Linked DNA regions of Saccharomyces cerevisiae S288C. The protein of the gene in region 4 purifies or fractionates together with the protein of the main gene of each other region. This does not show direct contact. Each region holds a gene or a part of one and is shown on either strand. Other genes may lie near its edges. The genes, in order: ESF2, UTP18, UTP8 and UTP13.

Evidence for each region.
Region 1: the proteins of UTP13 (region 4) and ESF2 purify together in Saccharomyces cerevisiae (affinity purification with mass spectrometry; 2 studies listed by BioGRID). This does not show direct contact.
Region 2: the proteins of UTP13 (region 4) and UTP18 purify together in Saccharomyces cerevisiae (affinity purification with mass spectrometry; 7 studies listed by BioGRID). This does not show direct contact.
Region 3: the proteins of UTP13 (region 4) and UTP8 purify together in Saccharomyces cerevisiae (affinity purification with mass spectrometry; 2 studies listed by BioGRID, with this or other methods). This does not show direct contact.

Annotation. Positions count from the first base shown.
Region 1 is NC_001146.8:720,047-727,557, forward strand, and holds ESF2 (RNA-binding ATPase activator ESF2), read right to left. Parts: upstream 4,261-7,511; coding exon 3,310-4,260; downstream 1-3,309. Other genes in the region: CCR4-NOT core DEDD family RNase subunit POP2, read right to left, coding at 1-601; putative GTPase NOG2, read right to left, coding at 1,074-1,724, 2,257-3,066. UniProt on the Saccharomyces cerevisiae protein: Involved in the small subunit (SSU) processome assembly and function, and in the 18S rRNA synthesis. Required for the early cleavages at sites A0, A1 and A2. Stimulates DBP8 RNA helicase ATPase activity.
Region 2 is NC_001142.9:306,219-314,318, forward strand, and holds UTP18 (Utp18p), read right to left. Parts: upstream 6,489-8,100; coding exon 4,704-6,488; downstream 1-4,703. Other genes in the region: ARG2 (acetyl-CoA:L-glutamate N-acetyltransferase), read left to right, coding at 1-1,638; YJL070C (metallo-dependent hydrolase superfamily protein), read right to left, coding at 1,753-4,419; YJL068C (S-formylglutathione hydrolase), read right to left, coding at 6,798-7,697; MPM1 (Mpm1p), read right to left, coding at 7,896-8,100. UniProt on the Saccharomyces cerevisiae protein: Involved in nucleolar processing of pre-18S ribosomal RNA and ribosome assembly.
Region 3 is NC_001139.9:745,114-753,885, forward strand, and holds UTP8 (Utp8p), read right to left. Parts: upstream 4,979-8,772; coding exon 2,837-4,978; downstream 1-2,836. Other genes in the region: VSB1 (Vsb1p), read left to right, coding at 1-322; YGR126W (uncharacterized protein), read left to right, coding at 722-1,414; YGR127W (uncharacterized protein), read left to right, coding at 1,685-2,623; SYF2 (Syf2p), read left to right, coding at 5,287-5,934; YGR130C (uncharacterized protein), read right to left, coding at 6,281-8,731. UniProt on the Saccharomyces cerevisiae protein: Involved in nucleolar processing of pre-18S ribosomal RNA. Also has a role in nuclear tRNA export. It acts between the steps of tRNA maturation/aminoacylation and its subsequent translocation out of the nucleus.
Region 4 is NC_001144.5:576,027-585,138, forward strand, and holds UTP13 (U3 snoRNA-associated protein UTP13), read right to left. Parts: upstream 5,746-9,112; coding exon 3,292-5,745; downstream 1-3,291. Other genes in the region: MSC3 (Msc3p), read left to right, coding at 1-311; CCC1 (Ccc1p), read left to right, coding at 799-1,767; RSA3 (Rsa3p), read right to left, coding at 2,336-2,998; IFH1 (Ifh1p), read right to left, coding at 6,207-9,112. UniProt on the Saccharomyces cerevisiae protein: Involved in nucleolar processing of pre-18S ribosomal RNA.

The DNA.
Region 1 (7,511 bases), on a different chromosome or scaffold from region 4:
TGCCGATCGGCCTAGCCAAAGTCCCCACAAACTCAGTACTGATTGACACATGATTATACTGCGAGACCAGTTGTCTTATAACGGCGAATTCACTGTAAAGGTTGGACTTCCAGACATCGCGAACGAAAAGATAATTTGGGGGTGGTAAAAAGATCGGTGGCATACTTTGGTTGGTTAAATGCTTGGGTAGCTGGGAAGCCAAGGGACGATTGAGTCCCACTCCCTGCTGCTGTTGCTGCTGTTGTTGTTGCTGCTGTTGTTGTTGCTGCAGAACGTTCAGTCCGGGCGGCAAACTAGCCACCGAAACAGGCGTTCCTATATTAAATGGCTGCTGTTGTTGTTGCTGTTGCTGTTGTTGCTGAGTTAACAGTGGCTCGTTCTTCTGCTTCAAAAGATAGGCATTGTTCATCTCCTGATTAACAGAGCCATTAATTGTATTTACAGGCATCCCTTGAGGAAACATTCTTGCTCTATTAACCTTTGGCGAATACACCTGAGGTCCCATGTTTTGCTGCTGGTGTTGTTCAGAAGCCTGCCTCTGAGAGAAAAACTGCTCACCTCCTACAGCTAATACCCTCGGTTGTACATTCATAGATTGCATAATCCTTTTTGACCCTTTATAAATGTATAAAATTGAGTTGCCTGTTTCTAATCGTTCGAAGTATTTCCAGTATGAAAAACAAGGAAGCCCTGATAACGAGACACGCTAATAAACTTCAAACTGATCTTTCTTGTCAGTTATCATTCTACTACTATAATTGAAAAGACTCAATAAAGAAAATATCATAATGATGAAAAAAGAGCGAGCAGCGGGTAAGGACCGAATTCCGTTTGGAATGACTGGTATAATGAGATTTACCTTATACTATAGAGAGGGCTATATCATTACCGAACTTAAGTTTTCTATTGGAATATTATACTTTATAAACTAAATAATTACCCATCTATGTTGTTTCCCCAAGAATGTTTGCTGCCATATAATAAGAACAAAAAAAAAAATAACAAAAAAAAAGAAAAAAAAAATCACTTGTAATCTTAAATTAATATTATACACCGGTTGTCCGTTTTTACCTCTATGCCGTCTTCTCAACTTCTTTCTTCTTTGGTTTTTCTTCCCCTTCCTTTTCAGGTGGAAGGACGAACCAAGGGATTTTACCTCTATTAAAATCATTCAATATTTGCTTAGAAACACCAGACTCATCAGGCTCACCACCCTTCAGTAATCTACCTTGTTTCCTTGCCAGAATTTCAATAAACTCCGTGGCATCCTTCCATCCTGAGATCTCGTAAGTTCTTTCCAAGTGCTTTACCTGACAACGTTTTAAAACACCTGGAATATATTGTTCTGGGTGTGTGACGTGTTCGACTCTGACAACACCTCTGAATAAAATGTCTTCTTCGGAGTCTTTACTAGAAGGCGGCACAATACCTGGACAATCAATCAAAAAAATTCTTTTCATAAGAGTAATATATTGCCAGACCTTAGTTTCACCAGGGATTGGTGCAACTTGACACACCTTTTTCTTTCTCAATGTGTTAATGATGGACGATTTACCAGTGTTTGGATAGCCGATAAACCCTACAGATATTTGCTTTCTATCAGTATGCAACTGTGAGAACTGACGTAGCAACTGAATTAACGAACCTTTACCGAAAGAGTTGGTAATAGATGCGTGAAACGCCAAAGTTGGACGTTCCTTTGACAAATGTTTGACCCAAGCTGCCTACTTGTAAAGTTAGAATTGAAAAAAAAAAACCTTCTGTTAGTAAAAAATACATTTTGTTTCATAATAGGTAATCTTTTGCCCCAAGAGAATGTAATAATCATTGTTATAGCCGAGATTGATTGTTTCGAAGAGTGGATTAAACTAAAAAAAAAAAAAAAGTAGAAAATTGTGAGGATCTTTACTACGAACATATTGTATGGAGCCCGAGATAAAGTCTCAAATAACAAAAGCTCAACTCATAAGATCCTCGCTGTTCTAAAAAGCGAAGGTATACCTTTAAAACAAAGGTTGTCCTTCTAATTTACCCATGAGGCTTCCCCAGAACGGGGAAATATGGATAAGCGAACAGTATTACTCTTCCAAAACAGTAACAGACACTTCTGTAGATAAGTTTATCCTAAAACGGATAGAGAAGCACCCTGACAAAAAGGTTTGGTAATAAAAATCATACTCTATCGAAAAAAAAAATCTCTCGTGCTATCCTCTTGGTTGGAAAGAATCAAAAAAAAAAAAAAAAAAGTTAACATACTGCAACCCAGGTAGGTACCAAATCACACTTATTAAGAACATAAATTAAATGCTTGTGTGGTGTTTCCTTCTTCATATACTCTTCCACGGACTTACAACGGGTACCCAATGGATCCCTTGCATCTAGAACATGTATTACCACGTCAGACGAATCGATGACTTTATATAATTCGTTCCAAATACGTTTGGATTGACCCTTACTGAAAATAGCTTCTTTTGCTGCGGAGGTCCACCCATTTTCTTTGTCTTCCTGGTTCCCCATTAGTCCTAATGTGGCATCTAAGACTTGCTTTTCCTCATACTTGGTAATGTCTTCATTTGTAGCCTTGACCAAGTCCTCTAGATTGGATGCAGCAAGACGTGGTCTCTTTCTTTGGGCTTTGGGCCCAAACGCATCAGCATAACTTTCGGTATCCAAAATTCTGGCTTTTGGGGATTCATCTGCGTCCTTTTCTTCCAACAATGACATGGGAAGCTTATTTCTTCTCAGAAGAACTTGATATGTATCTTTTTGGGTTTCACCCAATGCACTTCTGAAATGCTGCAGTGCGTCCTGAGATATCACTCTTGTGTTACCGAACCAACGACGATCTGGTTGGACCCTCGCATCCGGTATTGTGGAGTCCTGGAAAGAAGCGGCCCTAATTAAATTACCTTTCTTATTCCTGATCTCCTTCCCACTAGTGTACATATTCAGGAATTTGACTCTCTTGGAGTCTCTGTAGAAATTTTCACCCTTCACACGAAGATTACCATCTTTGGTGTCACCTTCACGAATACGTCTAGATTTCTCTTTCTTACCAGTACCCATTGTATTATTCCTCCCCTGATATTTAGTGGTTTTGCTGCAAGTCAACAGATCTTCAAAGTTAACACTTAAGGGAAAGTACTAACAAGTAGTAAATATCTTTTATATATTCTACGCTTCTTTATATGCCCAAAAAGAAGAAAAGTGAAAAATTTTTCTTCAAGCGAAAAATTTTTGCGATGAGCATCGGGCAAAAAAACGTGCTAAATGACAGGTTGTGTTTATATATTTGTTATTGATTCTATATTATAGTAAATTGGTGAGAACATTACCCAAGTCTTTGGACCCAGAGGATTGCTGCTTGATATCAGAGGGAGCATTGGCACGGCTTGTTTCCACACGACGTTGTTTAAATTCCCTGTGAGGGTGAGAATCTGCAGACTCTCCTTCTTTTCCGGCGCGCTTCCTAGAGTTCTTAATGTTTTGTATCATCTTACTTTGCTCCACGTTTCTAATGAATTCCGCGTTCAGTTTGTTGGCCTGCGAGATTTCCATCTCCAACTTGGCCTGTCTGATATCGTTCTCGCGGGCAATCTGTTCAGTCAAATCTGCCCATTTGAAACCTGGGAGGTACTTCACGTTCAGGATATCATCATGGTAGAAAGTACCTTTCTTGCCACCAATAATGTTCCCGTTCAACGTCTCCGCACACAATTTGGCGTCTCTTTTCCTAATAAACTCGGCCCAACCTTCTTCATACTTGTTTTTCTTGTTTCCTCCACCTTTAACTCTTTGCTTGTACTTTTGATCGTCCTCTTTCTTTAGAAATAGTCTATCTACCTCACCAAAACGAGTTAATATTTGTCTCATTTTTGCAGGTTTCATGTAAGGTGGAATACTGGAGAAGTATACCACCCCAGTCTTGTGTTTAGACTTCTTGGCGGCCTTTGATTTTACCAGTTGCCTTAGTTTTTCTGTTTTTAAATCCAGTGAAGTGGTGGACGAAGCTTGTTCTTCTACTTCTCGATCGAGCTTTTCTCCATTCTCTTTATCTGGTTGTTCTACATCCTCTTTTTCTTCTTGTTTTTGCTCTTCTTCTATGTCTGACTCGTTTTCACTTTCGATGTCTTCTACCTTCTTACTGAAGATATCATCCTTACTAGAAATTTTTTTCTTGGTCTGAATTAAGACGTTATGTTGATCGGTTTCCTCATCTGAGGAAAAGTCTTCAAAGTCACTATTTACTTTTTCACTCATGCGTAAAAATTTACTTCACTCTGCTGCAGTAAACTGTTTGCTTTGTACTTACATAGCAATGGGTAGTTTGTCAGGTTGAAATTTTTCAAAATCTTAATAGCGAAAGTTTTACTGCGCAATGTGAGAAAAGCTGGCTATAACGAAGTAATTCAAAATAATAAAACAAGAGAAAGAAAAAATTTACACGTCATTGCCTTTGGAAATGTGATCAGACAGACCCAATATCACCGTTTAAATATTCTTCACGAGATAATGTAGTTTGTCAATTGAAACGCTATTTGGTGGCTGGCTAATCAAATATGGTCGATGAAGGGGTTGTCAATCCAGCAGCCCTTAAAGAATTGTCGCTATCTGTTTGTTCCTATAATTAATTTGCACTGAAAAGATACATGTGCATTATTGCAGTATATTATAAGGAATTCCGGAGTTTTCTAGTAACTTTCTAGTCGCGCAACCGAGAGATGAGTACTACAACGCAACCTATTTGGTAGTGCATCCTACACATTGTGAACGTTTTTGGTTCATATTACAATATTACGATATTACGAATTTTACCCTTTCTTTAATACTAACTTTGATCAGAAAGCACCTTTATCAATATGGCCACGTCTGGGAAGTCGGTCATAATCAAAAGGCTACAGGCTTTGGGGTTTGAAATATCAATATACGAATTGTGAGACTTTGTTTTATCTTAGGGACGAAAATGGATGTGTGAAATTACTTATGGAAGGATCAATAATAGCAACGTTTGCTAATGTGTTAAGATGGCAAAATGCTACTGGTACGCCTCGTTGAGTATCCATCATTATTAATAGCGCCAAAATTGAAACATTAATTGCGGTTTTAGAACAACTTTAGAATTACAGAGCAAGGTGATAAGATCTCAATAGCTTATGAAAAATAATAATTTTTTAGAACCTAATGAACGTGTCGAAACTTTCCGCAAAATATTATGTACATCTCTACTCAACCTTCTATTAGGATCATGAGAAATGTGTTAAAACAGAAAAAATGCACCCTCATAATAAAAAACTTGGCCAAACCAAACCCTTTCTAGTACATCGATATGTATATCACACAATAAAGTCAATGCAGCATAACTTAGAATCGAGGTAGCGACTCCCCGTATTGCTCAAAATGGAAAATTCTATGGAAATAGAATTCATATGACTCTGAGAACTAAAGGAACATTATGACGAACAAAATTGCTATGATGTGAGGAATAAGATGATACAGTCCTACCAAATACCAAAGATCGGGTCGTCGAGGGCGGTATCATATCTAGGGAGATTTCTTTTCAATTAGAGCATATTCATTATCAAGTAACCACCATTTGTATTTTTTTTTTCTTCTCAAGGTAGTTATTCTGTTCTGACGTGCAGAAGATGGGCGTAGCATTGACACAAAGATTCAGTGGGAAACTATATATCCATATCTCATCCTGGTTTGGAAAATGAAGAGCTGCATACTTATATGAGGGAAAGAAGGCTAAACAAAATATACGTAAAGCAACTATCAAGAGCCAATGGAATCTATTTTCAAAATTTGCGTTCTTCCAAAACATTTATCCCGTTTGATGCATTAATGAAAATTATGAACATTTATTTCCTTACCACACGTACATTGGGTGCTCTACTTTCTTTTTTATTTAAGCATATAAAATGTACACAGTAGTAAAATACCATTTTAAAATATTATTTGAACAATCATAGAACACTACGCAGGTATTCTTCTTCAAAAAGATAGCTTCAATGTATTTCATGTATCTGAAAACGCTTTGTCTTGCCATTAAAGATCTGGTGGCCCCGACAAAATAAAAAAAAATACTGAAGGATGCGAGGTTCGAACTCGCGCGGACAACCGTCCAACAGATCTTAAGTCTGCCGCCTTAGACCACTCGGCCAACCCTCCAAAGATTTATACTTTTTGTTGTATCTCAAAATGAGATACGTCAGTATGACATTTTGAGATCCTAAACGTTCATAAAACACATATGAAACAACCTTATAACAAAACGAACAACATGAGACAAAACCCGTCCTTCCCTAGCTGAACTACCCAAAAGTATAAATGCCTGAACAATTAGTTTAGATCCGAGATTCCGCGCTTCCACCACTTAGCATGATTCATATTTTATATAATATATAAGATAAGTAACATTCCGTGAATTAATCTGATAAACTGTTTTGACAACTGGTTACTTCCCTAAGACTGTTTATATTAGGATTGTCAAGACACTCCGGTATTACTCGAGCCCGTAATACAACACTTTTTATCGTATTTCAGGTAGTATACCACATCATTATTTGAAGAGTGGGTGAGTTTTGAGATAATTGTTGGGATTCCATTGTGATTAAGGCTATAATATTAGGTATGTAGATATACTAGAAGTTCTCCTCGAGGATTTAGGAATCCATAAAAGGGAATCTGCAATTCTACACAATTCTATAAATATTATTATCATCATTTTATATGTTAATATTCATTGATCCTATTACATTATCAATCCTTGCGTTTCAGCTTCCACTAATTTAGATGACTATTTCTCATCATTTGCGTCATCTTCTAACACCGTATATGATAATATACTAGTAACGTAAATACTAGTTAGTAGATGATAGTTGATTTTTATTCCAACATTATTGTACTCAGCAATTGTTGCGAAACAGACAAGATTAAGTATATTATTCAAGGCCTTGCTTACCTAGATGAACCATTGAGAAATATACATATTGAGCAATACCTCTAGGTCCGAAGTTCCGTGCCTACACCCTTTAGTCAGATTTAGATTATATGAGATAAGTGGTATTTTGTGGACCAAGTTTGTGATTAATCTGATATCAAGTTACTTTCTTAACGACATTAGGACGCCAGGGTAGCCAGTATTATTCAAGTCCATAGAACAGCCTGTATACCTTCACTTCATTAGGTATATTCTTGGTTATGCGTTATTTAAATCCTCATCTGCCGCTGCTTAAAAAAAGCAGCTAAAGTGTTGCGTAGGCACTTCGAACAAGTAGTCAGTAATATCACCTTTTAACATCTAATCATCAAAAGAGACATTTTTTGGGATTAATTGTTTATAAAAGCTATGAACTTAGGTCTACAGAATGTACCAAAAGTTATCCTGTAGGATATAGGAATCTACGAAAGGGGCCCGATACTTCTATATAATATATATTTTTATTTCTCCTTCAATTTTATACGTTGTCATTCCTTATCCTATTACTTCATCAATTCTTGCAATTCAA
Region 2 (8,100 bases), on a different chromosome or scaffold from region 4:
ACCGCTACAAAACGAGAGGCTAAGGATTATCTCTCAAAATATACAAATGATAGTGGGCAGCATAATCATTGTTTGTTTTTTATCAGGGACCTGCATAAAGTCGCACCAGCGATTTTGTCCCAGTTTTCAAGTGTCATAAAGAGACTAGGAATGCTAGGTTTGCGACCTATGTTTGTAATTCCGCCGTCGCCAACTCATGTAAATATACAGGCAGAGTTACTTGACAGTATCGTTACAGAAGCAGATTTAAAGCCACTTCACCTTAAGGAGGGTCTTACTAAATCCCGCACTGGGTTATATCATTCTGTTTTTTCGCAAGAGAGTCGTTTCTTTGATATTGGAAATTCCAATTTTATACCAATTGTGAAACCTTATGTGTATAATGAAGAGACTGCTTCAGAATTCATGACAAAGGATGTTGTAAAATTTATGGATTGCCTGTGCCAAGGGAATATTCCACACATTGACAAATTCTTCATTCTAAATAATGCCGGAGGTATACCTTCGGGAGAGAGAAATGATAACGCTCATGTATTCATCAATCTTTCTCAGGAACTCGAGCATTTGTCCTCGTCATTATCTCACAATATAAGCACTCTAACCAAACGAGAGCCACGCTCCCAAAACCTGTTACACAGAATGGAGGTGTACGTTAAAAAAGATGAGATATCTTCCTTAGAATGTGAATACCATGATCATTTAGAAAACCTGTTATTGATGGACAAAGTTTTATCAAATCTAGCGGCTACAGCAACGGGACTGATTACAACTGTCAAAGCTGCCGCACTATCATCAGATAGGAAAAATCCTTTAGTATATAATTTATTGACAGACCGATCGCTAATTTCTTCTTCTTTACCAAGGTTTAAAAAAAAGGACGGCGAGATAGACTCACCAGCCAACATGTTTGATGATCACGCATGGTATGAATTGCCTTCCCAACAGGTAAATGCAGCTCCTTCTAACTCAGATGCAGTTTTAGTGACAACTGTTCTCAAAAAGGGCGTCCATATCAAAACTTATGACTATAAGACGCTGACTCAATTCAACTCAATTGGGCTTCCAAAGAAGTTTCACGTACCTGAGAAAGGAGCAAAACCCTCGAGCAATAGTCCAAAACTAGATATCAACAAATTTAAATCCATCATCGATCAGAGCTTTAAAAGATCTTTGGATTTGCATGACTACATAAAAAGGATTAATGGAAAAATAGCTACAATTATTGTGATAGGTGATTATGAAGGCATTGCAATTCTTACCTATGAAGGCTCGGAGGAAAATTCCTTTGTTTATCTCGATAAGTTCGCCGTTCTACCACACTTGAAAGGCTCGCTGGGTATATCTGATATAATCTTCAATTTGATGTTCAAAAAATTTCCTAATGAGATACTTTGGAGAAGCAGAAAAGACAATGTGGTGAACAAGTGGTATTTTCAACGTAGCGTTGCTGTGCTAGATTTGTCGATTGACTTAGACCCCGAACACTGTGATGAAAAGCAAAGCCAATTTAAACTATTTTACTACGGTAACCCTCAATACGCTAAGAGGGCACTACGTGACAAGAAACGTTTAAGAGAATTCATGAGGTCTGTCAGGGACATCAAGCCAAGTTGGGAAAATGAAAAAAATATTTCATGAAACAAAGACGCATTCTCCTCCTCCTTAACTTTCAAGTTTTCATTTTCAGTTTTTAAGGTATCTATATAAATATATATATCTTACTATGCAAAGTTGTTGATATTTCACTTTACCCTACCAAATGGAGTTAATTACTCCAAAGTGATCCCGAACGAAGTTCCACTCTTGATCCAATGTCTCCTTTCTATATCTTCTTCTAATCATCGGAACGTTGTGCTTTATCGAGGTATCTTTCGCTGTATCGTACCAATTATCTATCCCACCCACGTTCTCCTCAAAGTAAGGCGCCTTTTTAACTCCAACGCCAATCCAATGAGCCTTGTACCAACCTTCATAGCCACTAGATAGCACACTTGTTCTCGACAACTCGCACAAATCTGTTGGGTTCAGCAAGTAAATACTTGCTGCTACACTGTATTCTTCAATGAGAGGTTCTAGCGTGTATGAACTATTGTAAAGAATCGATTTTGATGATAAAGAAATTTTTAGTCCCATCTTAAACATTTTCATGAAAGGATTTGTCTCATATGATCTTTGTTCGCCCACAGTGATATCTCTAGAAGGATTGATTTTGGCTGTTTCCTGGTCTTTCAAATAATCATGTTCTAGAAGCACGTTTTTATTCTTCAAAAAGGTCGATTTTTGCGAATTCAGTAATGAAACAGATGATAATGGCGCAGCTAAAATGGGTATTTGAAAGAGATAAAATAAATATTGAATCATTGTTGCAGTATCCCAAAGCGGTTCTACCTGTAGCAGACCACCATTACAAAGCAGTAAGTTGCACACTAACGATTCAACTTGATCTGTAAAATATAAATCCACTCCAAATTGGGAAGTTCTGCTGGATAGTGGAGAACAATAATTTCTTAGGGTGATTGTATTTTGAAGATTTTGTGACCGCAGAAAATTAACTTTCGCTAAACTTTTATAAATATAATACATGTAATGCGCAACAGTTGGATTGTCACCCTGTGCTGTCCAAAATTTTGGCTTACAATTCATATCAGTAAATTCTTTCCAGTAATATTCATCCGACTCTTTAATGACCAGATCCATAGAACACACATTTGATAAAAAAAACTGCAGACCAATGATATCAGTATTTACAGATGAATCTATTGGTAACTGCTCCTTTTCCAGAGTGAATAAAGGATTGAAGATAAGATCCAAAAACTCCTGGAAATTTGACACGACATTTTCCTTGAATAGTTTGGGAAAAATCCTGGCAATTTGTATATTCCAGCGGATATTATACGATACTAGCTTCCATCGTAGCAACCATTGAGAAAATTTCTTGTACCAGTCTTCACCACTGGAATAGAATTGAAAATTAACTGATACTTGGGCCAATTGGTACTTTGATTTTTCGAGGATATGAATAACGTATTTTATGAAAATTTCTGCTAGGTACTCACCTTCAATGAAATTATCAAACTCCAGAAACACTTTGGCTAATAGGTAAAACCTCATTTCTTTGCCGACCAACTTTGCTACTTTGTTAGGAGTTAGATGGTAATCTATTAGGTAAATATTTCTATACCAATCCAAGAATTCATCATCAATCAATTTCAACCCAATCGCAATGGGTTGGTCATTAGAAGAACAACCAAACTGAAAAATGTCTCTCAAACTGAGTTTCCTTGACGTTTCCGGGTCTTGATAAACTATCCTTTCAGGTTCTAAATTTATTTTCTCCCATATATATTCACTCAATTGACGTTGAGAAATACAACCACTTAAAGACAAGTCTCGATCTACCTTACGAGAATTATAAAAATCTCTGTAGGGAACATTTTTATTAGCTAAAATTTCTTTCTTAGAGTTTAGGTACTGAAACAATTCAAATTTATCTAATAAATAAGATAATCGCTTTCGTGAAACCTCGTTGAATTTATGAGATTGGATTAACTCTATTATGTATGCAAAATCATCCCTAAATTCTTGAAACGTAGGCACATCTGTTAAAAATTCTTCCTCTAGTGACTCCTCCTTACTAGAATAAGGTGAAAGTGGGTTTTGCGTATTTTCCTGATTACTTAAATGGTAAATGTATTGTTTTTTGTAATCCTCTAAATCGAAATATTCACCGGTGTATGGTACTTTTATATTTCCTTTTCCTTTCAAACCAGATTTTGTGTAGTAGTAGTAGTGATCGGTAAAGTAACTTGGGTAATAGTAGCCATGGCGGTGCGGTGTAGCGGCTCCGGTCCCAGTACTGTCTCCATCGTCATTTAAGTCAGAGTCAGAGGGATCTTGGAATCGTTTATCGTCTTCAAATCTCCAAAACTTTGGCAGTGGTTTTGGGTATAAAAACCACTTTTCAGTGTCATTTTTTATGTTTGAAATGCCATCTTGTTTGGAAGCAGCAATGTATCTTTTTCTCATTTGAGAAACCAATTCAAACGGATTAATGAAAAGATCTTTAGTTTCTTCACCCGTTTTCAGATTTGAGGGCGTGTACGATGAGACAAAGCTGTCACTTTCTCCATTTCCATAATGATGGGAAACTGAAGGAAGTGGATCAATTTTGTTTTCTTCGTCTTCAAGATCGAAAAACATAGGTGAACCTAAAACCATTTGCCTGTCAAATTCCGTGGGCAAAGAAATCATATCCATATCATCGACTGATATTTCCTTCTGTTTCAAAACAGATGGGGAGACATCACCGTCATTCTCTGACAAGACCCTGGCTTCTTTATTCTTCGTCTCATTAGGCTTAGTAACAGAATTTTGATATTCGTCAAAGAGTAACGAGGGCCTTCTCTCTACCGCCTGCATAATTCCCAGCGAGATGAATAAGTAAAGTGAGATTTAGATAACTCTTACAGAGGATATTGAGAGGACATTTTAATCAAATTCTTTAAACTCAATGTCCCCTTTTTTTCCATATATTATATTTAATTTCTCGGACAATTTTTCATTTCTGACTATAAATGACAGCAAGAAAAAAGTGGGCAGAATCATATTCAATTTCAAGTTTCTTCGCAATTTTTTTACAGTGATATTTTGTGTATGTATTTGTACATTGCTTTTAATATCTAAGTTTGTCTATAAATGGAAATTTAGTAGTGGTTTAATTTCCAGAGCCTCACTTTACCTTGTTCGTTACCCACGGCCAGTAGCCCACCAGATGGCGAAAATGCGACACTGGTAACTTTACCCAAAGGCGTCCCGCTGGTAGGCCAGTTGCTGAACACGCTACAAGAAGGCAGATGAACTAGTCTCAAAGCATCCTTGACTGCACGGGATGCCATGCACAGTATTTGACCATCAGGGGAAAATTGTAGATTAGAAATGGTAGTTGTTAGCTGGTCCAAGGCGGCGACAGGTGTAGGGGTCGACGAGGTCATAGCATTATTTCTATCGTAAAGATTAACAAATCCACTCTCACTACCTACCGCAAGCCACCTATTTTGCTTTATCTTACTTATTTGAAGAGCCGGACAAGTAGTTGTTGTCCCACCACCAACTTGGATTTTTGTTATACCCACGCCACCTTGGTCTTTCCATCTTCTTATAACATGGCCATTCTTATTCAAGTCAAATTCCCACACTTCACCATACGCGTTTACAGCAATTAAAATGGTCCTAAACTTACCACGTGAAATAGGTTGATAATCGATACAGAAATCCGTTATCACACCTTCTATCTTGCAGCCCATTAACCATAGTCCGGAAGTGGAATGTAAAATGTTAATCCAACCATTATTACCCTGTAAAAGGACAATTCCATGGACAGAATTTGTTTGTGAATTCTGCAAATGTGCAACTTTGAAATTCTCAAATGATCTTTGAGTGGACTCATGTCCATACAATCTGGAAAATTTTTCGATTTTGGCAGTCTGTGAATGAGTTAAATTTTCTAAGGATAAGTCCCAGGAATGCATATATCTTCTTCTACCGGCGGTGAATATATTTTGTTGATTTTGGTTTGATAGAGAAGTATAGAAAGTACATGTTTGTATTGGAGACCCAACCAGGTGCAAACTTGTCACTAGATGGTTCGTTTTCCCGTCAATATGATATATTCTTAAGGTCTTATCATACCCACCCGTTAACAGTAGAGGCTTAGAAGGATGGAATGAAAGAGATTGTATGGCGGAATGAGACGGGTGTGATGCATTTGCATCTTTAAGACGCACAATGTCAAGTTTCTTAGGGGGTAATAGTTTGGAATTCGATAAAGTGTCTTTATAATTGTAAGTAGTAGACAGGATCTTCGTTAGAGCATTAATATCTCCATTAATAACATTATTAGAGCCTTCTTCTTCATCGTCTTCTTCGTCATCTAATTCAGAATCAGATTCATCGTCCACCCATTTGGGCCTTGGATATATCTTTTCAAACTGAGATCTCAATCTGTTGATGTAATGAACACCGTTGATTTTGGACTCGTTATAGGAGGTTCTTAATTTCTTTGTCTTATTGGTAACAAGAATAGGCACTTTAATTTTTTCATCATCCGAATCTATCCAAGCAGCTTCTTCAGAGTCCTCAGAATAATCATCGCTTGAAGAGTCATCTTCGTCATCCACGTCCATGGTATCTTCATTCTTATCTTGACTATCTTCGTTACCACCATCGTCCACAAAAAATAACTGATCGTTGTTAACATGGTCTAATTCACCGTTCTGCGCTTCATCTTCTTCACTGTTATCTGATTCAGATCCCTCATCCTCCTGGTCTTCAACATCCATTTCTTGTTCATTGAAAATGAAATCGGCATTAAATTTAGCGAGATTTTCTTGTAAATCTGTTGTATCACCGAATACAAATTTGGCTAGTAACTGTTCTTCTTCATCTGGTGGAGGTACGCTAACATTCATTGCGGTTGTTGCCATTGTCATTGTCGCACTAATGTAGGCTGATATACACTTTCAAGAACGATACCACAACAGGACCAGAGTGATCGATGAGATGAGGTGAAATTTTTTTATTTTTCGTTTTTTTCATTTCATATTATTAAATTCGTCGGATGTGATGCCAATTAACCACATAATAGCAATAGTAATGGAAGTTACAGGTGACATAAAATCTACTGCGAATAACCTTTGAAAGGATAACTATGTTTGGCCATTTTTTTCTACGGACGTATATTTCACTAAATATGTACATAGAAAAGTCATAAAAATTACCATAATGAAATGCGATGCCTCTCAAATCAAACCCAAGTTTCGCGCATGAAATTCAGCATGTTCTGGAACGAAAGTGCTGACAAAGTAATAGGAGTGATCAAAGCCGTGAACTTTTTTTATTTCCACGTAGTCCTGCCATGAAGTGGCTTTCACCGCCTCAAGTAGTAATTCCGGTTTCAAGTGTTCTTCCAAAAAGGGATCGGAGTCTCCTACATGGATCAAAATTCTGTCGTCGCCCACATGTCTAATATTCTTGATTAATAAACATGGGTCGTACGCTTCCCACTGGGCTTTTTCTTCGCCCAGATAACCTTTAAACGCTTTTTGACCCCAGGGAACGTTGGAAGGGTTCACGATAGGGGCGAAGGCAGAACAAGATTTGTATCTCTTTCCGGAATAGCCCTTCAAATACCCACAAATTGCACCATATCCCCCCATCGAATGGCCTGTGATGGCAACATTGTCCAAGAAGTCCAGCTTTACGTCACCGTTCTTGTTAAAATGAGAATCTAATGTTTGTGGGAGTTCTTTGTGAATGTAGTCGTACATCTGGTAATGTTGGGCGTATGGTTCTTGGGTGGCATTTAGATAGAATCCGGCGCCCTGTCCAAAATCCCAGGAGCCCTCAGGATCATTGGCTACTTCGTCACCACGTGGGGACGTATCCGGAAAGACTATTGCAAATCCGTACTTGTCAGCTTGAAACTGCCAAAAAGCCTTCTCAGAGGCGTTGTCTGGCGTGCACGTCAAGCCAGAAAGGTAAAACACAGTTGGGATACGCTTATTTCTTGGAAAATCTTGGGCGTAATAGTGCTTAGGCAAATAGATATTGACGTTCATGCTGGTCTTGGTAGAGTTCGAGTTATGTGACAACTTGATCAATCTGCCACCACAGACACTAAATTCCTTAACAACCTTCATATTGAACTATGTGAATCGCTTATATGTATTTTATTGATGCTATATATTGTCAAAAATGTGTATTGATCTTTTGTGTGTGTGTGTGTGGATCTCCCCTTAGCAGTCGCATGTTTTCCACACGCGCAAGGTCATAATCGTGCGATATATACAAGGCATATTGTGTAAGATATGAGTAAAAAAAGGAAACGAAAATATGTCCTAATTGTCTTCGTCAACACTCACCACTTTATGCTTCACCTGGGGACTGGAACCCTTGGAGGTAGTGGTGGTAGTAATGTCTACCGTGCCATCGTCAAAGTAGATTTTTTCAGTTTTGACGGTGCTGGGTTTTGCATCATTGGAATCCTTCGTGGTACTAATGGACTGTGCCCTTCCAACAATTTTCTTGGATCCATCTGCAGAA
Region 3 (8,772 bases), on a different chromosome or scaffold from region 4:
ACATGCAGACAACATTTTTTTCCTTGTGGAAACAGGTATGTTGAAGGCAACATATGAACTACCACAAGGAACCTTGTACGAGATTTTTTCAAATGGCACATGCTTCGGAAAAATCATTGCGCCAGGGAATGCTATGCCTAGAGAACAAAAGCTCACCATCGAAACTGAAACTGATTCCGTATTATGGGTTATAGACTCTAGCTCGTTGAACAAATTGAAAGAAGACAATCTAGCATTGTACGTGGAGGTTGCATTAATGGTCATGTGTATCAAGGACACCAGATTCAAAGAATTACTAGGTTACACACTTGTTAGCGCATGAGAGCGTACACGTATATTTATTTAATTTCTTTTATTGCCGGCGTATTGCAAGTAATTTACACCAGTACTAAATAAAAGCAGGATGCTCCTGCATCTGTATAAGTGATGCCGTTGTAGGATTTTTACCATCTCGACTATAAACTTTTTGTACTTGAGTCTTCACTTCCGGAATTTTACTGCGCGATTTTCTTTGATAGGGCCCCTATCGTAGACGAAAAGTGATAATTCCCATCGATGAGCAACTACATACCTCACTTGACTTAATTGCTCTCCTAAAGAAAAAAAATACCGTTACTTTTTTCATTAATATACTACCACAACAATTCACAACGGGTAGTTGTACGGTTAGTTTATATCCGCATTAACAAATCAAAGTCATAACAACGTATCAACGTAGACTATGCCTGTCCCATCTGTTACTGTCACTACCGATAATGAATATGAAGACATATCGTCCTTTTCTTCTATTGACTCTTACAAACCGGAGCCCTTTACTGGGTTCAAAGATTCTGAAGCTCCAGAACAGCCTCTTTTAAAAAACGATACCATTGTTGGAAAGGGGCAACTGGAAGATGATAGTAATGTAGATGATCAACACCGTCATTCAGATGTGCATTCTCATCACAGTTCTAGTACTTTAAAAAGGCCAACTTCAAATTCGATAGAAAAGATGGTTACCCACAATGCTTTAGAGGGCAACTCAGAAACAGTTGATTCCTTAAAAGAAGATGGTTTAAATTTGAACAAGAAAGCTCTTCCGGATATTACCGCCCCAGTAACAAACTCAGCTCACGATGCTGCATTTCCAGAAGAGTATCGTTTAGAAACTGAAACCGGGTTGGTCAAATTGAAGACGCTTGAAAGTTTGAAGAGGGAGGACTCTCGCGTATCCTCAACTAAAAAAGAGCATATTAACGACCATACAGATATGCATTCGACACGATCCAAGGTTACTACAAATTCTCAAGGTTCTTCTCTAGAACCAAACAAGTTGAACATGGCAGTAGAGAAGAATAAGAAGAGGATCGAAAAATATCAAAAACATAAATCAGAAAAGGGGATCAAGGGGTTTTTTCATAGAATTTTCGATTAAGTGGCATAGCAACATTTAGTTCGCAATGCGTTTACTTCAGAATCATTCTTTTTTTTTTTTTTTTTTTTTTTTTGCCTCACATTATATTCTTGGCATCTGCCTAGCTTTCGACTTTTTCGTTCAATTCCTAAAGCGCTAAAAAAATAGTCTCCCCCTGAAAGTGGAGTAGGATAGTAGTATATGAAGTGAGGCAGAAAAGGAAAGAAACGCTTGCATTTATTAACACACCTGTGGCTAAAGTATTAAAAACCAAAAACTAACGAACAAATAATGTGCATTTTAATGGCCACAAGGGCACATCCTGACTATGAACTCATCTTAATATCTAACAGAGACGAATTCTTGGCAAGAAAAACACATGCTACATGCTGGCATAACAATGATTTTATCCTTTCACCCTACGATCTGGCCAAAACCTCAGCAGAAAAACAAATATTTGGCACTTGGTCTGGCATAAATAAAGAAGGAAAATTAGCCACTATTCTTAATTTAAAACTTGACAATGAGCAAAATAATACGAAATCAAGATCCCGTGGTCTGTTACCATTTATATTTTTGTCGATCCATAAAGCAGATTTTGAAGATTGGGATAATTACAAAAAGTTTGAAGGTCACTATGATGGGTTGAAGTCCACAGGTGATTTTAATTTTTTTTACGGCGACGTTATCAAAAAGCAATATAAAGTTATTGATTCTCTAGGAAGAACTTTTGATGTGTTGAGTTCTACCTGTAGGAAAGATCTTGATTCTTACATGGTTGTTTCTAATGGTAAATTTTATGACAGCTCCAGTATACCAGGGCAGGCTTGGGAAAAAGTAAAGGTAGCACGTGATAGTTTAGAAAATCTAGTTTTAGAGAATATTGAATCAGATGAGGAGAAAATAATATCAAGTTGCTTTCAACTCGCCTCGAAGTCTTCCCTTCCAAGCACTATTTCAAACCCAGATGTCTTGCAGATGGTAGATCCAAATGTAACCATGAATACCATATACGTACCACCTTTACGGAGGCCTCCCAGGGATGACTTAGGTGCCTCAATTCCTGATGGTGATTACTACGGAACTCGCTCTCAAATAGTTTTACTCGTGAGTAAGGATTCAACGAGAGTTACCTTTATAGAAAGGGTCCTTTATAGCTCAGATGAAGACGTGCGCAAGTATTCGGTAACCTCACCTAAGGAGGAAAAAAGGTTTAAATTCAAATTGTAAAAATCACAATCTTCCATTTTATTTCAAACTAGCTTTAAATTCCATCTTCTTCCCCTCAGAACATTCCGGTATCTCTTGTTGGACACATCTAATGTATATGATGTTTTCAAATTCTAAATGCCTGTTAGTTTATCAGTAACCACAGTAGACGCTATATATATTAGTTCCTTTTCTATATAGGTATTATACAATACAATCAAATTCATTGCATACTCAAATGTCCAAGTATTCCATGGTGTAAGTGGGTAAGGCTCGCTTCTGAGAAGTTCCGTTATCAAAGGTTGAGCTAGCAAACCCATGCTGAAAACCTTTCGTATCAATCAAATTCCACAATTCGGTATTTCTTTCAGCAATCTCAACTTGTTTGTCAATATATAAGGTTAAGTTCTCCAATAGAGCACCTTCTAATGAAAATAGCCCGATAGAATCTAGCACAAGGGACAAGAGTTGAAATAGCTGCGTGCTTTGGCTAGGGTTGAAGCATTCTGGTGAGCTGTCTTCACCACCGCTTGTTATGAACTCAATGAAATTTTGAACGTCTAATTTACTTAGTTTCTTCATTTCTTGTTTAATAGAGTCTCTGGTGAAATCCTGCAAAATCCTAAATGAGATATCAAGTAATAGTTCCCTGTTTCTGATAGAAAACAATTCTTCAAGTAGTTCATTTAATGGCAAGTTTGGGCATGTTACAATTGCTTGTTTAAATAATCTAGGTTGGTCTCTTAGTAAGGATAGCAAGTTGCGTGTACGACTCAATGGAAACAATGGGTGTGTCAATAAAAACGTTAAAGTTTTTGGATAATCATTTCCGCTAAACTTTCCGAAAATTAGATCTAAAACTTTATTCAAAAAGCCAGGATCAGAAATATATCTATCTTTTTCAGTATAATGTTCTTCTTTGATTTTTAGTTCTTTGAAAAATATGTCATCAAATGATGTAATGTCATTATCTTGAAGGGCTGAAAGCTTTTCAATAACTTCATTACAGTGGAGGACTGGAACGCTTGAATCCCCGCTGACGTCGTTACATTTCACTCTCTTGTCATTTATGTCTTTATCATCAAATAGCGGCTTTAAAATAACTGAGCTATCATTATTTCCAACTTGAAAACTCTTGCCTAATGAGTCCTTCAACGTATTAGTTCCAACATCAATATTAATTATTTCTAAGGAAGACGTTGGGTTTGGTCCATTTTTCGTTGAAATACCAATTGCTATTGTTTTTGAATTATGCGACTTTTCTGAATTGATCACTGCAGATTTTAATAGTTGGAATGTTTTCACGTGAGTTAATTCTCTTTGGCTTAAAGTAGAACAATGCAGTAAGTCTAGTAGATAAATGACGTTGTTTACGGTCAGTAGAACTCTGTTTACTGAAACAGGTTGGAAAGAGATTAAGTCATCTCCAGGACTGAGTTTATCCACCATCGGAAATTCAATAACTTGTTGCAATTGGCAATGTGGTAAAGAGTAAATGTATATTTTCCCCTGGTTCAATTTGTAAAGTTTTCCAAATTGATAACAAAGCTTTGAATTTTCAAAAGAAAATCCTTCGATGATAGTAGATGATAATTCTTTTATGGGCGAACTTTCTCCACTGCCACAATCTGTTAGCTCGAGCAATTTATAGCAGACTTTATCATCCTGTAATGGACAGAGAACAAAAACATATTCAGTTCCATTTTCAGTGAACCATTTAGCATATTTTAAGTTATCATAAGATATATCAAATGAATGCAAAAGTGTTAACTTAAAATCAAAAATTTCAATCAACCCGTTCTGTAAAATTGCAATTACTAAGCTGTTCTTGGTGTCAATTTTAATACTCATGACTTTGGCTTTCGCCTTGATCTTATACTGAGATAAAAATTCGTCTGAACCCGTGTATGCTTTATTGTCAATATCACTCTCACTCAGATGGTCATTTGAGGTATCAGTGGTATCTTCCAGTGCCTTAGTGATAACATTTAGCGTATAATTACCCTTATTTACCATTAAACCAAAGGCCCAAATTTCAACATTTCTTTTTTTTTGGGTGTTGATAGTCTTCTCGTTGTTGGCTTCATCATCGGTACTGGCTTCTATATTTCCGTCAATGTTCGCTTGACCTTTCTCAGCATTGCATGCCGTGATAATATTTGTAGAGGGTATTGGGTAATCGAATGTTAACTTTGGTGTAGGATTAATAATATATTGAGATATAGATGACCCGGAAATACCTAACGTTATGTTATTTGTAGATTCATTAAAGGTGCCATCTGCGACTTGAACGTAATCTGCTTGTAAAGAAAAATTGCTCAATGAAGCAATTTTTGGGAGAGTTGCTAGTCTAAATGGTTGAGACAGGGATGGCATTTTGAATCTTTACTATCCTCCGGAATGATTTGCTGTTCAAGGAGCGCTAGGTGTGACATATAATATTACAAATTTAACAGTGACCTCATCTCATCAAAGTTTTCAAATTTTTCAGGCATCTGCTACAGCATAATGAAAAAATTTGAAAAATACAGACATTTCCGTGTAGAATGACAAAAAAGCTAGAATATTACTATATTTTCCTTAAAAGAGCAATATTTGCGATGAGGGGCTCTCAATGACAATGTTTGACTTCTCTATTGAACTGTAAGCGAAGCAAAACCATATCTTGTCAAAGTATTCGAAGAATGGATTTTTACAAATTAGACGAGAAGCTGAAGGAGTTGAAAAGGAAAAGAGTAGATGTATCTATAAAGAGTAGGAAGTTGGCTGACAGAGAGATTCAGGAAGTAAGCGCAAATCGAAAACCAAGAGTATACAGTATGGAAGACGTAAATGATGCAGATGAATCAGTAGGAGATACAGAAAGTCCTGAAAAAGAGAAAGCATTTCATTACACTGTCCAAGAATATGATGCGTGGGAACGTAGGCATCCTCAAGGGAAGACTGGGCAAAGCCAAAGAGGTGGAATTTCCTATGATCAACTTGCAAAATTGAGTTATGAGAAGACCTTGCGGAATCTCGCTACGCAAACACAGAATTCGAGCAAACAGGATAGTTCCGCCGATGAAGAAGACAATAAAAACGTACCCAAGAAGGGTAGAATCGGCAAGGTACAGAAGGACACTAAGACGGGTAAGATAACAATTGCAGATGACGACAAGCTAGTTAATAAGTTGGCCGTTTCTTTGCAATCTGAGTCGAAAAAAAGATACGAAGCAAGAAAAAGACAAATGCAAAATGCAAAAACACTGTATGGGGTTGAAAGCTTCATTAATGACAAAAATAAACAATTCAATGAAAAATTGAGCAGGGAATCAAAAGGATCAGAATAAGCTTCTCTTTTATTTAGAATATACCGATATAACCAAAGGAAAGTTTTAATACCCTGGATTTTTCATCGACCGTCACGTGACGAGCTGAGGTTAAATGCCCGCAAAAGTGCTTCAGAAGAGAGTCCATCTTACTCGGTTATTTGAGCACGAAACACTAGAGAATAACTAACTGGTTGATAAATTGTTGATTGAGTAAATATTGGTACATAAAACGGTTACAAAGAGAGGTAGATTAGGAAGGGTGAAAATAATCAAAGGATAACTTGATGATACTCGACAAAGAATAGAAGAGAAAAATAAAATAGAGGTGGGATATTCCTTGAACAAAAGTGGAATATTATTTTTTTTAGGCATACATGACGTCTTCCTCAGTATGATATTCATACAAGGAATCGTCCTTTGGAAGGACGCTCGTATTCTTTTGTGAACGGTCATTTGGTATTTTGTGGTTTTCAGCCGCGTGTATACCTTCAGCTTGTTTGTGCTGCCTACTCAATATTTCTTGCTTCAAGGCCTCATCAGCGTTTTTCTGGCGAGTTTGTTCCTCGATAGCCTTTTCAGCTTGTAATCGCGTTCTTTCCCTCTTGACTGCCTCCAGTTCTTTCTCTTCGGTTGCCAGCTTATCCTGTAGTTCAGTCAATTGGTCATTATAGGTTTGCTTGACTTGAGTAATTTGCTGCTCATGATCTAATTGAGCCTGATGCGCTTGTTCCTCCAGCTCTTGGCGCTGTTTTTCCAATAAGTTCTCTTCTTTGCGTTTTCTTTCTTCAGCTTCTAGCTTCAACTGTTCTTCATGAGCGCGGCGCTCATCTTCGAGTCTTTTGGTAATTGCCGATAGTTGAGTTTTTTCATTGGCGTTTTCCTGCTTGATTATGGTCACTTCGTTCAATAAGCTTGATATTTGATTATCAATATCATTAATTTGTGGAAGATATTCCTTGTTCTCTACACTTTCCAAAACTTGTACATTTTTTTCATGCAGCTTCTTATTTTCTTCAGTTTGGGTAACCAAATCCTCCTTTTTCTTTTCCAGATTATCGATTTCGTTTTGAACTTTGCCTTGTTTCAAATTAATCTGGTTAATCTTAAAGATCTGAGCATCCAACTGTTGAGATAAGTTACTTAAGTTCGTGGTCCAGTCATTGAACTCCTTTTGGACATTCGTTTTCTCATTGTTCAAATCATCGATTTCTGACTTAACGTTGGTTTGTTTGTCCAAGACCTCATTTTTCTCCTGCAACTTTTGGTTTTTCATATTTTCAGTGTCTTTTAATATCATTAGTTTCTTATTATTATGCTCGGCATTAACATCAATGATTTTTTTGACCAACCGGTTTTTACTAACTTCAATTTTCTCAGAAGTTTCTTCTCTCATGGCCTTCATTGAATTTTCAATTTCGTCAATCTGATTTTGTAAATCTTGTAGCTTTTCTTTGTATTCTTTATTTTTAGCATCATATTTATCCTTTTCCTTTGCTCGAAGATCAGCTAACCATGCTTGATGAATTTTTTCATCATAATTGATTTTATCATAAACTGCCTTTGATAGGTAACCATGTTCTTTTGTCTTTACAATTAATTCAGGATTTTCTGGAGTGGCCACTGGATTGGATGGAGCGGCGGTCTTACTTTTTTGGGTAGATGAAGAAGTAGGGCTTTTCCATAAAGCGAAAATTCCGGTTCTTTCCTTTCGAGAAGGTTCCTGAAAAGGGACCTTGGGAGCCTTGCTTGGATCGATTGGGCTTTCATCTTCTTCGGATTCCGGTTCCGAGGTTTCTGGAGTAGACGTTCTCTCAGCAGATTCCTCTGCAGACGATTGTTCGGTTTCCTCTTCTGCATCCCCTTCCGCTTCCACTTCCTTTTTTTCTTCCCCACTGGGAGGATTGACTTTTTTTACATCGGATTTTTCCTCCTTTTGTTCGTCTGTTGGCACGACACCTGACTTTGAACCGCCACTTTGATCTGTAGTGCGTGGTTCCAACACCCCATTCTCGGATGAGATTGGTTCCGCTACATTAATTTGAGCTGAATCAGCAGTGCCTTTGCCAATTGAAGTAGACTCACTCACTTTGTCTTCATGTTCTTCCTCCACGGAAGTTGCTTCATCAGCACTATTTTCGACAGCATTAGTAGTAGAAGTGCTGGTAGTAGAAGTACTGGTGGTAGTGGTTGTCGTAGTTGCAGTGTCAGCAGTTGCTTCAGTGGCCTCAGATGTGGTAGTAGAAGTAACGTCCCCTTCATCTGATGAAGACGATGACGATGACGATGACGATGACGATGACGATGATGATGTAGAAGTGGACGAAGAAGTAGTAGTGTCAGTGTCATCTTTTTCATCCTTAGTTAAGTCAGTAATTTTCTGGCACTTCTTCAAATATTTCAAATGTTTCTCCTTTAGTTCCAACTCAGTTAGTAACTGATATTGTCTTTCTTCATTTTGAGTTAGGTAAGTTGGAAATCTAATATCTTTGGCTCTCTTAGCATTTTTTGGTATGTTTTTGTACCCTAAATCCTTAGGTTGCTGTTTTGAATAGGCAGAAGTAGCACTTACGGTAGGAAACTTTCTGTTTTTTGCGTCTTCCCCATATGCCCGGTTGTTTTGCCTATTGGCGAGGGCATCTTGTCTAAATGGCGAGACCCACTCTTCCTTACCTTTTGGCTCATTGGACACAACCTTTTGCAAAAACTGATAAGGGCTTTCCTGCTGATGCGCTTGCTGATTTTGCGTATTTGCCGAAGATTGATTGATCAATTGCGTAAAGGGGTCGTCTTCTTGACGGTTGATATTGAATAGCATGTTTTGAATACGTAGTTGATTGACCTCTTTCTTTTAATTGC
Region 4 (9,112 bases):
CCTCGAATGGGCAAAGTCAGGGCAATGTACCTACCTCCGCAGTAGCTTCAACAACGAGAACAAGATCACCGGAACTGCAGGATAATCTAAAGTCTTCTTCTTCGCTTTTACAGGACCAAACCCCTCAGCGTCAGGAAGACGCCACGGATCCAACAACATCATCGACGAATGAATTATCTGCCGCTGAGCCAACAATGGTCACTTCGACACATGCCACTAAGACAATACAGGCTCAAACACAAGATCCTCCCACGAAGCACAAGAAGTCCAGTTTCTTCACTAAACTGTTCAAGAAAAAAAGCAGCCGTTAGCAGTTGTTTACTCGAATTTTGCAATCAACCCTAATTTTTGAAGCCTGGTTTTAGATTTATTCTCTTCTTTTTCTTCTTGTGAACTTCAATTACTAATGTAACTTAATTTTTAATATAACTTTTACAGTTTAATAATATTGATTTTTTTCGGTCTGGACCAATCGCGCCGCATTTCTCACTAATATTACTAACATACCCTCTTCTCATTGGCTCGGTACCCCTTTCGTGACCCGCATTTTTTGTTTTCTTTGTTAGCCCGAATGTCTCACAATGAAGATGTAAAATTAAGATTATATATGAAAAATTGATACAAAACAAAATAGTTCAAATAATCAAGTTAAAGCGACATCACTCTCAATTTTTGCTTTTTTTAGGTTTATAGAATAGAAATATAACAGAACGAAGCCTTTAGACTCTTTTTTTTTATTGGTATATTGAACAAAGAAACTTTTTTTTTGTCCTCCCATATCTCGTGCACACAAATATTATGTCCATTGTAGCACTAAAGAACGCAGTGGTGACCCTTATACAGAAAGCGAAAGGTAGTGGTGGAACCTCAGAGTTGGGGGGGTCTGAATCAACTCCCTTGTTGAGGGGTAGTAATAGCAATAGTTCAAGGCATGATAACTTATCCTCATCTAGCTCGGATATTATCTATGGTAGAAATTCAGCGCAGGATCTAGAAAACTCACCGATGTCAGTAGGGAAAGATAATAGGAATGGCGATAACGGTTCGGATAACGAAAAGGCGAACCTAGGGTTCTTCCAATCAGTAGATCCTCGCGTAATTAGCGATTTGATTATCGGGCTAAGCGACGGTTTAACCGTCCCCTTTGCTCTAACAGCTGGTCTATCTTCACTTGGTGATGCGAAATTGGTCATTACCGGTGGCTTTGCTGAGTTGATCTCAGGTGCGATTTCTATGGGCCTTGGTGGCTATTTGGGAGCGAAGAGTGAATCTGATTATTATCATGCTGAAGTAAAGAAGGAGAAAAGGAAATTTTACGATAACTCCAACCTAATTAACAGAGAAATTGAAGACATTCTGTTAGAGATTAACCCTAATTTCTCGGACGAAACAATCGTTTCGTTCATCAAAGATTTACAAAGAACACCTGAGCTAATGGTTGACTTCATTATCAGGTACGGTAGGGGTCTAGACGAACCTGCCGAGAATAGAGAACTAATCAGTGCAGTCACTATCGGTGGCGGTTATCTACTTGGTGGGCTAGTACCACTAGTGCCATATTTTTTTGTCTCAGATGTGGGCACAGGTCTCATTTATTCTATAATAGTCATGGTTGTAACATTATTCTGGTTTGGTTACGTAAAGACAAAACTATCCATGGGTAGTGGCAGTTCGACTTCAAAGAAAGTTACGGAAGGTGTTGAAATGGTTGTTGTGGGTGGTGTAGCAGCAGGTGCGGCTTGGTTCTTTGTTAAGTTACTGGGTTAAGTGTAAAGTAACAACACTATACATATTTATTGTAAAGAAATTTGGGATTGAGAAGCTTTGCTATATACTTGGAACTGGGCTGGATTTTCTCGACATACATTTCTTTTACGTTTTAATTTGTTTCTATATTCTCCTCTTTAAATTTATTTATATTAATGAATTTCAAACTAGTTTCTTTTTCTATTGCCAAGAGGCCCATCAGGTGATCCATGATAACCTTTATTCGCATTGAATCGTTTTTCATTGGATCTAATTCGTCATTTGGTCGCCGCCTTTCTTTGCTCCTTCTGCTTTTTTCTTTTTCTCTTTGACTATCAGGTCATAAGATCTTCTCCTCCATTATGCCCAAGTGTTTTTCTTTTTTTTGCCTTTATATAAATTACAAAATACATACATATACTTCTCGTGCAGTATACTGGAATCAGCTTTATACCATATGAAGCACAACTTGGATCAGGACCGCTCTTCATTAAAAATCGAAGAATTATCTAAATAATTAATGTGCACGTCAATATATTCTCCGCGGAAACATGACAAACTTTTAGAAAAAGATTTAAAGCAATATTTTTCAGTTCTCCATTTCTTTATTTTTCAAGACCAATTCTAGTTCACCAATATCAAACATTCCTATGCCTTCCTGCAGAGCATCTGCCAAAATGGATAGTGATTTATTCGTGAAATCCGGGGCAGCTCTAAGACGATTGATATCATCACCGTAGTTTTCAAAAAGTAAATTTAAGTATTCTTCCCTTAACTTTGTCTTGTCTTTCCCTTTGGGCACAAAGTTTTCTGCCAATTCATTGTATTCTTCTCTCGCAAGCTTGATATTTTCGGCAATTTTCGATGCATTCATAAAACCCTCCTTGTTTTGAGATTTCGTAGGCTCTGGGATCTTGCTCAAAGAAATTTTGGTTAAATCGTCTATCACTTCTTTTGAATTTAACTTCAAATCCTTGCTTTCTTCGTCTGTAAGCTCGACATCCGAAACTTCTATTGCAATGTCCTCTTGTTTGTCTTCGTCATTACCTTTTGAGAAAACATGATCACTTTTACCATTTTCTCCAACGTGTTCTTCGATGGCCCCATTTTGGATTTCCTCCTTTTCACTTTCTGATGATGGATCCGATGATGAAGAATCTGATGATGAAACATCAGCTGTTCTTCTCTTCTTCCTCCTTCTGTTTTTTTTGACAGACTTGATATTTATGGCTGATATATCACCTGCCGACATCCTGTATAATATATTATGGCTAGTTCTTTCCGTGCTATTTCAAGTGGGCAGTTTAAATTCTTGTATATATTACTACAATATATGAAAGTTTTCGCTCTTCGTTTTTTGCAAATTTTTAGTGATGAGCTCTTCGCGCAAAGAAGTTTTCAATGCCCGTAAAGGCACCTAATTATATATCGAATTATTTTAAGCTTTCCGCTTCATCAATGCATTTTGTCTTTATATATCTAGTTTACAAAATAATATGTTGCTATTGCCTTGCTTTTAAAGGCTCAATATCTTGGACTTACTGCCTAGAATAGCTTATCCATTTCCACTAGCGCGTAGTCTAATATGTAACTTTGTTCAACTAAGTTATCAACCCTTGTGAAATGCCTTTGCGTGTATGGAATTATTGCATCAACTATCTTTACCATTCCGGGTATCTCACTCAATTTTGCTATGTTATGATGCATCAAAATACATCTTATTGTTCTTTGCGCTATGGTATGTGTTTTTGCATTTGTATTCCAATCTCTGCATCGTTTCATTAACAAAATTAACTGTTCATCATTTAGGATAGAGATGGCTTGGTCCAATTCTTCATTGAAAATGACTTCAATTTTGCCCTCTTCGGTATCTTGTCTAGACCTTGATTCGCCCAAAGCTCTTTTCAAAACATTAAACAACCTCATTGGGTGATCTAAAGTCATTGCTAACAAAAATGCATTTGTCCAATCACCTTTGCTCATATAATTTTGAAGCGATTGTTCTTGTTCGACTTGTAATTTAGCTTTTTCTTGTTCTTCTTCTATTTCTTGTTCCGTACAATCTTTCCAAAACTGAAAAACACCATCTGCATCAGCACTTACGATCATATCACCATCATTCATAGTACTTAAAGCCCATAATCTATTATTATGACCATCCAAAGTCTTCAGACATTCACCGCTAGAACAATCCCATATTTTGATCAAGCCATCAGCACCACAACTGATCAGTTGTTTTTGCTTATTAATAAACGAACATCTTTGAACCGCATTGGTATGACCTTCCAATGTTTTCATAACGCTGAATGTATCCAATGACCATATCTTGACTGTTTTATCACCTGAAGAAGTTGCCAATAATTTATCATATTGGCAAAATGATACATCCCATAGTCCACGCTTGTGGTTGGCCAACGTGGCTTCCAATTCACCATTTTCTAGGTTCCAGATCTTACAGGTCTTGTCGTATGATGCTGTTGCAAAAATAGAATCGTTAGGAGAAACTGACAAAGCATTGATATCCTTTTCATGGGCATGACGAGTATATTCGGATACCTTGATGATTTGAACATCCATACTAGCAGTTGGCTTTGGAATTATCCATTTCTTAATTGTTAAATCATTCGATGCTGTCAATAAAAATTCAGGATATCCCTTTGAAACTATATTTGGCAATCCAACAGCAGTTACGGCAGCTGAATGACCAATATACTTGGCATAAATATCAAACTTGCAGCTGTTCTCATTGTATCTCCAAACAATAGCCGTATTATCTTTAGAGGCGGTTGCGATCCACAGGCCATCCTCAGTAGCATCCAATGAATTTAGCAAATCTTCATGACCTTCATAAATTTCGACATCCAAAGGCAGCGAAGCTTCTGGGCCTGATAAATCGGGGACGGGTATTATCCTAAGCGATGGAGAATTGGTAGCTAAAGCTAATTTATTCAGCTCTGGGCCAACATACCTCATGTCAGCAATAATACCATGATTACCAGCAATGCTCGAAGTGACCTGTATTGTGTCTTCATCATTCTTTAAGTCTTCTTCAACGTTAATTAGTTGTAATGTCTGGTCAGACAATACTAAAAACATCTGTGAATTGCTCAATATTGGAAGTACACCAATAATGAATAACTCTTCTATAGGTTTATTGGTTCTTTTAAGCACGCTACCAGATTCAGAGTCAATTAACTGAAAGATAGCATCACCGCCGGCTGTATAAATTATGCGTTTACCGTCACCATCCTTTAGGAATCCGCATGACTCTACCTGTTGATTTACTGGAAGTGTTTTCAACAATTTACATTTCTTTTTCATATTGAAATCCCAGAGATTGATGATATCGTCTCTACCACCGGAAAGTAAATTTAGGCTTGGCTCATCATTATCTGGTACCTCAATGATATCCAACCCTCTCACAGCAGATGTGTGCTCTTGTAATGTGTGCAAGCACTTCCTTTTAACAAGATCCCAAACCTTTACCATACCATTGGTGTCACCGGATGCTAATAACCATATTTTACTATTCAATTGTCCATAAAACTTCAAACTGGAAATTGTACCACCATGACCTTTGAACGAATGAGTAATGTAACCATTTTCAATATCCACAACAATTATACTACCATCTGTCCCTCCGACTGCGAGAAGCGTTGAAGTGGAATCTGCGTCGAGAATGTACGATGGAGAAGAGATTTTCATTGATCTGACAACTTTCCCGGTCTTAAGGTGAAAGATTTTTAAAAGCTGAGCTTGTGAAACATACGTGAGATATTGACCATCAGGAGTTAATTTCAGTGCAGTAATTTCTTGCTCGTCTTCATTAGAAATCTTGTGCAAAATTTTTCTGGAGCCTGGGGTTAAATCGATTATGTTGATTTCGTCAAGCACCGGAGTAGCTAGTATTTTACCATTTTCTGAAACAGTGGCAACAGCACTGCTTCCTGCATAAATAGGGTTTAACGATATACCTTTATATGAGGTTTTCAGATCCATATTGTACGTAGTATGGCTTACTACCGTTGAGAGTACTATGTTGTTGGTTCACACCTTTAATGCCATACCGCTATTATATCTGAGAGCGATGAGCTGAATTTTTCAGAAAATTTTCAGTCGCTTTACACGGATATATTAAGAAGCTCCATCTTAATCGCCAGAAGAGTGGATGAGGTTATCATCTCAACTAGAGTCGAAGAGTAAGGCAATCCATCAAATGGGGTTGCTTGAGGCTTATTTACTTTTATACGTCTGATTGGACGGATTATACCAGTAAAAAAAATATTGATTGTGTTTTTCTATAAAAATATGCATATATAAGTAAAAAAATAACATGTAATTCTTTTCAACCAACGATAAAGCAAAATTCAGAGTAGAATAAGGCAAAGTCACATACTGATGATGATATTGTAAACGAAAGGTGATTTGATTGTAGTAACCATAAAAAAATGCAAAATAGCTCATTGTAAGACGTCATTGAATTCGAATGAATGGTTAACATCATTGCCCATAATTCCTTCGATATCTGCCAATGCACTCTCACTAAATAAACCATTTTTAGTGAAACGAAGATTTTCAGCCGCTGCTTCCACCATACTTTGCCTTCTTCTCCACATGGAATTACTATTTTCATGGCTTAATGTATTGTCGAATTGCACAGGAGCGGTTAACGATGCTAGGATATCGGCGTCAGTATCTTCGATCACATGACCTTCTTGTGCATCATAACCGTTAATATCACCTACAGACAGTAAGTCATTTTCATCTTTGCCCAAAATCTCATGAATTTCATCTAAACCAACACTTTTTGTTGAATTTTTCCTTGTATTGCTGTCCACGGCAAGATCAGAATTATGAGGTATTAATGACGCATCTTCAGGTGCGTGAGAGGGAAGTTCATTCATAGGGGTATTTTCATTGGTTGTAAAATCGGTACCGGTATTTATGTCGCTATGGCTGTTATTGTTACCGATGATCTCATGGCCATTGATTCCCAATTGTAAATTCATAGTTTCTTGCTCCTTTATTGCCTTTTGTCTTTGCTTTCTTATTTTAAGAAGCTTCTTTTTTTTCTTTAACTGCCTTTTTTTTTCAGTTTTTTTCCGTTGTAGCTCTTTCATCTTATCAATCTTCTTTCTTGTTCTTTCATTACCAATATAGCCAATGGGAACTTTTCTGTTAGAATTTGCTGGTATCATGTACTCATCTTCTTCATAGGCATTAATACCCTTATTTCTAAATGCAGATAATGGAACCTTAGGAACTTCATACCAATCTGCAGCATGGCCATTTGTGCTTTTGCTATTAATTGCATCATTGTAATTGTTCTCCATATCGTCTGTGTGGGATGGTGAATCATCCTCCAATTCACTCATGTTTAGCAGCTCATTGAGTGTCAATTCGTCACCGTTATTGCCATTAGAGCTTCCCTCTCTTTTAACATCTGGGGTTTGAGCCCTTTGATGTTGCTCGCGAAGCTGTTGATGTTCTTGGATTAAGGCGTATAATGATTTAGTAGACAGACCATCAATAATACTAAAAGGTTTGTTGTCCGTCTCCCAAGTACCCAATTTTGGTGGACGTAATCCAACAACATTTGAACTTACGATTTCCTTTGCTTTTGAGCCAATGTTTTTTGACCTTGAACTTGGGGGCGGTAGGTTATCATCTTCATCTGTGGATTCGTCATCAACGTACACAACAGTCTCTAAGAGATCATGTTTGCAATCTTTGGATCCATCAGAATTTTCTTTGTCTGAGTTAGAACTTATCAAAGAGGAAGATCCATCGCTGTCGTAATGAAAGTAAAAAGAGTCTGGATCTAAATCATCGATGTCTATGAACACATTTGTCACGCTGGAATCATCGTCGTCGTCTTCGTAATCGTCGTCCAGTTCTGTGCCAATGTCTAAGCTATCTGAATCTAGTGCCCTCAATTCTTCATCCGTGTCAGCATCGTGGGACGTTTCAGATTCACTGCATTCATCATCTGAAGGCATATGGGCAACATCCAACAAAATGTTATCATATTCATCGTCAGAAGAATCATATTTCCCGGAATTCAGGACCGTACTATGAGTGGATGGTTCCAGATCATCATTGGATTTTATCAAATTCGAGCCTTTATTCTTATGTTCAATATGACTTTTGCCCGATTTATGCCTGCCTTTCTTGCTCTTATGGCCACTATTTTCATCATCTGATTGAAAAAAAACATTGAAAATATACTCATCATTGTCCACATTGGAGGTTGTTCTCGTACTAGGTTTTTGCGTCTTTTTATAGAGCTTTCGTCTTTGTTTCCTTTCTTCCTGTTCCCGTTTTTTGGCCTCTTTCTTTTTTAGTTTAGATAGTTTTTCATCATTTAGCATTAACGGTAAAGATGTACTCAAGGATAGCTTTGGCTCTGAACCATCGCCATAATAATAAAGATTTGCAAATTTAGGATCTTCATAAAACGGCATATCAAAATCAGACATTATTTCATCTTCTTCGTCATCTTCTTCATCATATCCGTTTTCTTGATTGTATTCATTTTGCAAAAATTTATTTTCAGCATCTTCTACAGGATCAGACCCTTCTTCGTGTATACTACCATCGAATGAGAGTTCGTCGTCATTTTGTAGCTCAGAAACAATGTTTTGTTCTTCTTCTTCCAATATGGGAAGATCGTCTTCCCCCGTTTCAAGATCTGTACCAATTTCTCCATGAGAATCTTCATTGTTAATCACGTCAAAGTACGCATCCTGGTCAATATCATATTCAGATTCATCTGACTCTGAAATATTGGGAAATCGTAACTCATCGTTGTTACCTAACATCACCTTAGAATCCAGTTTATCTTCTTCATTACCATTGTTCTCTTTGTTTTTTAAATCCAAGACTTCTTCACCTATATCCTCGTTATAGCCTTCATTACCATTACCAAAACTAATGCCGTCGTCCTCTTTTTTGAATTTAAACGATAGCGCCTGTTGTGTAGTAGTAGTGCCTGAACCGTTTACTTCTTTTTTGTTTGATTCTTGTTGTTTTTGTTGCTCTTCTTTCTCTTTTTCTTTTTCTTCTTTCTGCTCTTCTTCATTTTCTTTCTTAGGGGATAGTTTAACTGATTTATTTTTGTTACTGTTCTCACGAGAGGAATAGAGTGTATTGCTATTTGTATTCATGGCAGATAAAGCTTTCATGGCTCTTTTCTTTCTTTGGGCCGTCAGTTTGACAAAATCTATATTCTCGTCATCAGAACTTGTTTCGCTATCACTATCACTATCACTTCCGTCATCATCATCGTCGTCGTCGTCTTCGTCATCATCTTCTTCTTCTTCTTCACTCTCTTCTTCTTCATTTTCACTCTCTTCGCCATCTGTTA